2 linked regions of the Callithrix jacchus genome follow. The protein of the gene in region 2 purifies or fractionates together with the protein of the main gene of each other region. This does not show direct contact. Links are inferred from orthologs where the notes say so. Each region holds a gene or a part of one and is shown on either strand. Other genes may lie near its edges. The genes, in order: GDI1 and RAB35.

The links.
Region 1: the proteins of RAB35 (region 2) and GDI1 purify together in Homo sapiens (affinity purification with mass spectrometry; 3 studies listed by BioGRID and IntAct, counting the BioPlex papers as one, with this or other methods). This does not show direct contact. The link is inferred for Callithrix jacchus from reciprocal best matches to the Homo sapiens genes RAB35 and GDI1.

Annotation. Positions count from the first base shown.
Region 1 is NC_133524.1:150,231,573-150,236,071, forward strand, and holds the start of GDI1 (rab GDP dissociation inhibitor alpha), read left to right. Parts: upstream 1-1,519; 5' UTR 1,520-1,602; coding exon 1,603-1,647; intron 1,648-2,857; coding exon 2,858-2,965; intron 2,966-3,090; coding exon 3,091-3,190; intron 3,191-3,299; coding exon 3,300-3,434; intron 3,435-3,920; coding exon 3,921-4,119; intron 4,120-4,377; coding exon 4,378-4,499. Other genes in the region: ATP6AP1 (V-type proton ATPase subunit S1), read left to right, coding at 129-338. UniProt on the Homo sapiens protein: Regulates the GDP/GTP exchange reaction of most Rab proteins by inhibiting the dissociation of GDP from them, and the subsequent binding of GTP to them. Promotes the dissociation of GDP-bound Rab proteins from the membrane and inhibits their activation.
Region 2 is NC_133510.1:123,230,258-123,234,053, forward strand, and holds part of RAB35 (ras-related protein Rab-35), read right to left. Parts: intron 3,699-3,796; coding exon 3,575-3,698; intron 1-3,574. UniProt on the Homo sapiens protein: The small GTPases Rab are key regulators of intracellular membrane trafficking, from the formation of transport vesicles to their fusion with membranes.

The sequences.
Region 1 (4,499 bases), on a different chromosome or scaffold from region 2:
GCTTCAGGTCATGGAGCCAAGGCTGGTGGTTGAGAGGCAAGGAGAGGCCCAAAGAGTCACAGAATTGCTTGGGCACAGGCTCGGGCCTCCCGACGGTCCTTTCTGACCCCTGTCTGTGTGTCTGCCAGATCCAAGCTTTCAATGTGATGGGCGAGCAGTTCTCCTATGCCAGCGACTGCGCCGGCTTCTTCTCCCCCGGCATATGGATGGGGCTGCTCACCTCCCTCTTCATGCTCTTCATCTTCACCTATGGCCTGCACATGATCCTCAGCCTCAAGACCATGGATCGCTTTGATGACCACAAGGGCCCCACCATTTCTTTGACCCAGATTGTGTGACCCTGTGCCAGGAGGGGGTTGAGGGTGGGACAGTGTCCCTCTTCCTACCACAGCATGAACCCCAAGCTCCCTTTAGCCCATCTTGCTCCCCGTTCAGCCCACTAAGGAGATTTCCTGGGGCTGCCCCCATCCCTACCAACAAGGTGTACATAATTCTGCGTAGATGCTAGACCAATGTCCCAGGCTCAGCCGCGGTGAGGCGTAAGGGACATGAATTCTAGGGTCCCCTTTCTCCTTATTTATTGTGTCTACATCATCCCTGGCTGTGGATAGTGCTTTTATGTAGCAAATGCTCTCTCCTTAAGGTTATGGGGCTCCCTGAGTTTGGGGGTGTGGAGGTACTACTTAACTGTCTGACCTGCTTTGCTGTCGTTATTGTTTTCTGGTGATGCTGTGCTAATGATAAGCAGTACACTGGGGTTTATTTCTGTGGCCTGAGAAGGAAGGGACCTCCACCCCAGGTGGGCTGGGTGCAATCTCCAGCTGTCTGGCATGTTCCCATCGGGAGTGCCTGGCAGGAGCCTGGCGTGCTCGGTTGTTTCCTTCCTAATAAACGCGGATCGCCACGATTTGGGCCTCTTGTAGGTCATTTCTGCACTGGGCTTTAGGTGCGTGCTCGCTGGAGGGATGCGGGAGGATGGAGCCCGGTGAGGAAGAGGTGAGGAAGCATCCGCGGAGACCTGGAGGGGCTTTAGCAGGGTGGGCCCTAACCACTTAGGGCAGGAAGGGGCGGTCGGGCCGAGTCCCGTTACGCTTTGGCGACTCGGGAGGCCGTCGTGACAATGGCAGCCTTCGTATCATGAGGGGGCTGCCCCGGCTGCCGCAGCGGCGCGCACCCGGCCGCGGGACCGCGCCGAGCCTCCCGCGGGGCTGGGCGGGCGCGCGCGGGGCGGGGCGGGGCGGGGAGGATGGGGCGGGGCGCGCGCGGCTCCGCGCACGGATCCTTTCCTAGCCGCAGTACCGGCCGCCAGCCCGCCCCGCCCGCCCCGCCCCGCGCCTCTCTGGACCCTCGGCGAGCAGCGTCGTCCTCGGAGCCGCGCTGGTGCTGTGGCCCGGGCCCTAGCAGGTCTCCTGGGAGGCGAGCTGGGGAAACGGTGGATCTGGCCGGGCGCGGCGGGGCTCGAGAATAGGCGGGACTCTTTGACGAGGCGGAGGGGTCAGGCGGCGACCGAAACGCCGCCATCTTTGGTCCAGTGCTGCGGCGGCGGCGGCGGCGGTGAAGGAGGAGGAGGAGCCGAGCGGGCACTGGCACCGAGGCCTGACCATGGACGAGGAATACGATGTGATCGTGCTGGGGACCGGCCTCACCGTAAGTGCGGCCCCAGGCGCTCTTGGCCCCGTGTCTTGCCCTCGCCACCCCCCGCGATGATGTGGCCGCCGGCCCACCCTCCGGTCACTGCCATCTGATGCGCTCGGCTCTCCAAAAAGCCGGCACCGTGCCCACCCCGCCGCTCCCCGCGCCGCTCCCCCCGCGACGTCGCCTCTGCTTTTTGCTATGACCCCATCTTCCCGAAGGGGCCCCCTTCCTGGCTGCCCGGGTCTGACCCCCGGCACCCTCCCATCTTTCCTACCCCTGTGCCTGCTGGGCCGGAAAATGCACCCCAGCTAAGCCCGGTGCCCCGACCCCGCCCACCCATCGCCCCCACCCATCACGGAATCTCCCCCCCTCCCGCAGGTTGCCCGCACCCATCGCCCGCTTAGCGTCCCTTCCCATCTTGCGCTAATCCCGGTAGGGACAGGGACATGGGGTCAGGGGGCCTCCTCAGGGTGGGCCCTCAGCCCACCTCCTCGTCTTCTGGGGCCAGGGGATCCAGGGAATGTTCCAGAAGGAGCAGCGGTGGGGGCAGTAAGCACATTCCCTCAACCCCACCCCGGTTGCCTATGGAGACCTCAGGCTGAGTAGCATCTGCAGCCTTTGTCCTTGGGCTAGTGACAGTGACGGGTGAGGGTATTTATCTTCCCCTTTTCCCCAAAAACCCCGTTGGCCCGCTCCCCAGAGAGACTCTTCTTTCTCAGTCCAAGCCCAGATGCCCCTCATCAGCAGCAGGGTCTCCCGCCATTTGAAGAAAGATCAGTCCAGGGTGGGGCCTACAATTTCAAGGACTGCGCTAAGCCTTTCTTCACCTCCCTTTCGAGTGTCCTTCGCAGTCCAGCTAGGTCTCGTCTGCGCCTCATTGTGTTTTAACAGCCTTTCTGTGCAGCTCTGCGTAGATACATGTCCATTGGCTTGTGGGTACTGGAAGGCCATCCTGTGTCTGCTGGATGCCCTGCCTCTCTCAGAGCCTCCATTATTTCACTGCCTACCTTGTGAGGGGGATGGGACTCCTTTGCCCAGCAAGGTTACAAAGGAGACGGTGGTCAGATGAAGCTGTCACCCCAATTTTAGGCGAGGCAACTAGCTGGTTTGAGGGGGTGGAAGGAGCTGTCCACTGGATCAGGTTTGGGTGGGGAACAAATCAGGGCTGCTGGTAGGAAGGGAGGCAGGTAGGAGTGAGAGGATGGTATTGCCCTCCCTCCAGGAATGCATCCTGTCGGGCATCATGTCTGTGAACGGGAAGAAGGTGCTGCACATGGACCGGAACCCCTACTATGGGGGTGAGAGCTCCTCCATCACACCCCTGGAGGAGGTGAGACATCTGGGCCCAGGCCCATCCCTGTTCACCTCCCACGTAGCGGCACAGGGTAGAAGAAGCTCCCCAGGTGCCTGGAGCAGGAGGAGATGGTCCCTGAGGTGTCTCTCTTCTGCTTACAGCTGTATAAGCGTTTTCAGTTGCTGGAGGGGCCCCCTGAGTCGATGGGCCGAGGCCGAGACTGGAACGTTGACCTCATTCCCAAATTCCTCATGGCTAACGGTGAGGGACAGGAAGGACATATTGCAGGTCGGGGTGATGGGGAGGTGCAGCCAGACCAGCAGAGACTCTGGAGAGAGCAGTGCCGATGTTGCCCCATGCACACCCACAGGGCAGCTGGTAAAGATGCTACTGTATACAGAGGTGACTCGCTATCTGGACTTCAAGGTGGTGGAGGGCAGCTTTGTCTACAAGGGGGGCAAGATCTACAAAGTACCGTCCACTGAGACTGAGGCCTTGGCTTCCAGTGAGTGTGGGCCCCCTGAGCCAGAGAATCATGGGGTGGCAGGGAAGTTGACTGTCCTTGGGATGGGTGGCTGTCCAGAGTAAGGCACCCCCTTGTCCAAAGTCACATTCCCCATGAAGAACCAGAGGCCCTTCACTCTGTATCCTCTCTGCCCCATGCCATGCCTCACGGATGGCTGCCAGGAGAGAGGCCTACACGCAGCAGGGATGTGACGTGGAGGAGGACAGGGCTCCTTTGGAAAGACTTGACCTTTTGGCAGGGGCTCCACTGGATCCCCGAGACATCCCCAAATGTCCGAGCAAGGAAGGCCCTTAGAGCCATCCAGGCCAGTCCCCTCTTCATAGAGGCAGGGAAACCGAGGCTGAAAAGAGCGGAGGGGTTGAGCTAAGGTCCCACAACAGCTACACTGGGAGTGGGGCCCTGCCCTTTGGGAAGGAGAGTTTTGTGCTGCGCTGGTGCAGAACCTCGTCCTGCCGCCTGCCTTAGATCTGATGGGCATGTTTGAGAAACGGCGCTTCCGCAAGTTCCTGGTGTTTGTGGCAAACTTCGATGAGAATGACCCCAAGACCTTTGAGGGTGTTGACCCTCAGACTACCAGCATGCGTGATGTCTACCGAAAGTTTGATCTGGGCCAGGATGTCATCGATTTCACTGGCCACGCCCTGGCGCTCTACCGCACTGATGAGTGAGGGAAGCTGGTGTGGCGGCAGCCCCCTCGCCCGGCCTGCCTCCTCCCTCCCCACACCTGCCTGCTGTTCCCCTGCCCCGCATGTCTCTTGTACTCAGCCATAGGCTCACCTATCACCCTTTCCATTTCCCCCTTGCATTTGATCTTCATGTTCCCTAGGCCATTCAGGGTGGTGGGAAGACTGGCCTGGTACCTGGGTGGTGGTGAGTCAAGGGTGCTGCTATTGGAGCATCTTCCCTTACCCCTGTCCCCCAGCTACTTGGACCAGCCCTGTCTTGAGACCATCAACCGCATCAAGTTGTACAGTGAGTCCCTGGCCCGGTATGGCAAGAGCCCGTATTTATACCCGCTTTACGGCCTGGGTGAGCTGCCTCAGG
Region 2 (3,796 bases):
AGTCTGTCTCCTCCCCTGGGGCAGGTAGGCACCTCCCTTCCTGCTGATCTTGGCTCATCTGTGCAAGTGGCAGGAAAAGCATGGACACTACACAAGCATCTAGGGATGGCTGGGGAGAGGGGCCAGCAAAGCCACCACCCACACATGCAGACCCCAGGGCCAGCCAGGAGGTCTGCATCAAACTCTCCTCTCCAGACCCCATCTCCCCATTCATCCGAACGGTACAGAAAGACATCAATCCCCAGAGGCAGACAGAACCATAGCCTCCACTTCCCTCTGTCGCAGGGCTGGAGGCCAGAGAGCAACCCTGCCTTGAACTGTGCAATCAGCCAGAGCCCCCACTCCTGCTCTCCCTAGAGCCGCAGGGACCTCCTCCCTGAGGCTCCTCAGGACACCACACAAACCACGAGTGGACAAGCTACTTCCTCCCAGCCTTCTGGCTGCCAACTGCTCCAGCTGTAAGTACCTCCACCCTGCCCAGCCCTGGGGCAAAGCCCAACCTGCCCCTGCCCCTGCCCCATTCTGGCTCCACCCTCAACACCGCTGCTGGGATCTCCTCCCAGGGCTTCATTCTGCCGCAGCTTTGCTTCCAGGACAACATTGCTTCTTGGCTTTGGGGGAGCTATGACAATCAAGTTGTCTTGGCACTGGGCCCAAGAACCAGCTCTGGCCTTGGCAGCAGCGGCGGAAAGCAGTCGGCTCAGCACACGGAATGGCATGGCGATGCCTTCCAGAGTGAGGGCGCGCTGGAGCCGCAGGAAGAGCAGAGGAAGCGCAAGGAGTGGATGGCTCTGCAGACTCTCCTTTGCTGAAGATGATCAGAGAGGCCAAGGGACACCTACAGCCCTGGCCCTGGCGCAGAGCCCCAGCAGTTCCCTGAGCACCTCCACCTCATCTGAGGCCCAGAAAAGGGGCTTTATCTGAGAGCAGAGAATTCATCTGCAGATGAAGTCAGGGGCTCAGAGCTCTGGCTAGGAAGGTCCGGAGCACTGAAGCTTCCCATGGCCACCAGGAATCGCTTTCACTCACCGGGACTCTGCTCTAGGCCAGGCTCCGAGCCAGGGGGCTTGGTATCCATTACCTTACTAATCTCTGCAGCCACCTGATCCAGGAGACCTCAGGATGGCCATGTGACCCTCAAGGACCCGAGGCTGAGTGCAGCAGCCAGATCTGACTCCCAGACCCAGCTTTCCTTCTCACTTCTCCCCTCACCTCCACCCCACCCACACCTCTCAGCGCCGGCAAACCTCAGCTTCTGAGAGCAAGAACCCAAGAGGGGGTGACCACAGGGCTCTTTCCCGCCAGGCTAACAGGACAGTTTCAGTTTCTCTTTTAATGCCCTGCATCAGAAAATCACACTACTGTATCCTGATTGTCCCATTCCCGAAAACTCTGAAAACTGACTTCCCCAAAACTCCTTCCTTCTTTGCCAGTGACCATCACAGGGCATCGAGACTTCCCGTGCGCCCTTCAGGGCCTCCTGCCTCGTGAGGGCCAGAGCAGGACTCTTAAGACAGAGCTACCACTCTGCTTTCCCAGACAGTCAGGATGGCAGCAGGAGTCCAGCCACTGCCCACAGGCCACCCCTTCCCAAGCCCCCTGGGAAAATCCCATGCTGCTCCCAGGAAGCCGAGTAACTCTTCCCAGCTCCCCACGGAATGGAGGAACCAGTTCACCCTCTTCCTGCCCTGCCCAGCCCGAAAAGCAGGTGACTTCATGGTGGCAGGGAGGGGCTGTGGCTCCTCCTGGTGAAAGAGCCTCAGGCCCCCCAGGCCCCACCGCCCTCCCTGGGGATTCATTCCTCATGGCCACGGGCCTCCCAACCTCTGCTGCCCCAAACCTCTGCCTGGTTTTAAAGCGCAGGATGGGGCAGGAAAGCAGGGGCACCACCTGCCCAGCGGAGGAGGGCCTCGGCAGCCTCAGCGCCAACCCTGAGCACCCCTCACTCCTGCCCCCCAAGTTAGGAGGCTTCATCCTCCCTGGGCTTGTTTTCCTGTCCATAAAATGGAGATAGTCACAGTCCTCTCCACCAGGATTAACCGAAATAAAGCAGGTGAAATCCTAGCGACAGAGCAAGGTCAGAGCCCAGACCAGCTGAACCTAGCATAGGGGCTTGTCTTGCCTGGGCCTGCAGCCCCAGGCTGCCCAAAGCACTGATGCCAGCCCTGCCCCAGCGTCCTCTGCAGATCCTCAATGGCAGCTGCCAAGACATGCAGGCCACAGAGCCCCTGCTCACAGGCTCATCAACCATCACCACACAGGCTGTACCCAGCGACCCTGGGACTGTGAGCTCCCAGGGATTTGGGCACCACGGGCTGCAGCACACGTGTGCTGTGTGCTCAGTGCAGGGTGAGCCCAGTGACAAGCCTTCTGCCCTGGCTCCAGCCCCGAGCTGCCCGCCCAGTGCACCTGTCCCTCCTTCAGCGGCCCTACTCTCCCCAACACTCCCAGCCACCCATGGGAGCAGTGCACCCCACACTTCCCACCTCGGGAGATGCCGAAGGGCCAGGGGTGGGCTGCCAGCATGGGGTGCACCCAGCTTTCACACTGCAGGGAGGAAGGGGGCCGCTGGCCGGGACTTCTTCATCCGCCTTCCTGAGGCCAATTCTAGAGCTGCTGCTCGAGAGAGCCGAGGAGGTGCCCGTGGAGCCAGATAGCTGCCCCTGACTCTGCACAGGCCGCTGTGTGGAGCGCAGGCTCGGGCACTGGGAGGGACCCCTCCAGGGTGCTCTCTGTAAAATGGGATGACAGCAGCTCCAAGCACACAGAGCTGCTAGACAGCACAACCCAGCCACTCATGTTGACGCCCTCGCCAGAGCACTTGGCCCCCTCCACATGGAAGCCAGCACAGAAAGCCTAGGCAACTTGCCTCAGGACACACAGTCCAACAGCCCCAAATCCTCTTCAGACCCTGCTCCTTCCTAAAACCTGCTCCACTAACCCAGTGGGAGCCACTCCAAAGGACACTCCCATCTGTGCTGGAGCCGTTTCCTTCTGGCCTGCAGCTCAGCCACAAAGGTGGCAACCCGTGGGCAGCTGGATTTCCCAGGAAACAGCTTTAAGGGTAGGGAAGGGCCTAATGACACACAACAGTGTCCCCTCTAGACAGCTCTACCTCCAAGGCGGGTGATAGGGCCTGCCCAGGCCAACTCTAGCTTCCACAACTGACACCTACCAAGAGGAATTGCCAGTGACTAAGTCCTGGGTGGGCAGGGCACGTCACAACCCCCAGCAAGGCAAACACTACACTGCTCCCTCTGTAAGGTGACAGTGTGGCAGGCTGAAGGGCCGGCTGACTCTCCAAGGGGACAGCCCATGGCCACTGTCTGGCCAGACTCCACCACAGTGCTCAGCACCACCCACCACCCCCACCAGCAGTCACCTCCCCATCCCCTCACACCTTCAGGACCAGGAAGGCTGCAGCCAAACAGCACACACTAGAGCTGACAACAGGCTCACTTCCCAACAGCCTCGGGGGCCCATTGGTGACATTTCCACCATGACCAGGCACCGGTTGCTCAACCGTTTCCACAGGTCAGTGGTTCGGGCTGAGTGGGAGTGGGCGTGGACTCACGTCGAGGTGATGGTGCGGAAGCGCTCCTGCCCCGCCGTGTCCCAGATCTGCAGCTTCACCTTCTCCCCATTGATCTCCACGGTCCGGATCTTGAAATCCACTCCGATCGTGGTGATATAGCTGCCTGCACACACACGGCAGTTAACGAGGCCCAACCCACATCTCCCGACAGGCCCCCAGCCCCACACTGCACACGACACACCCCCAGGCTCCCCCACCCCC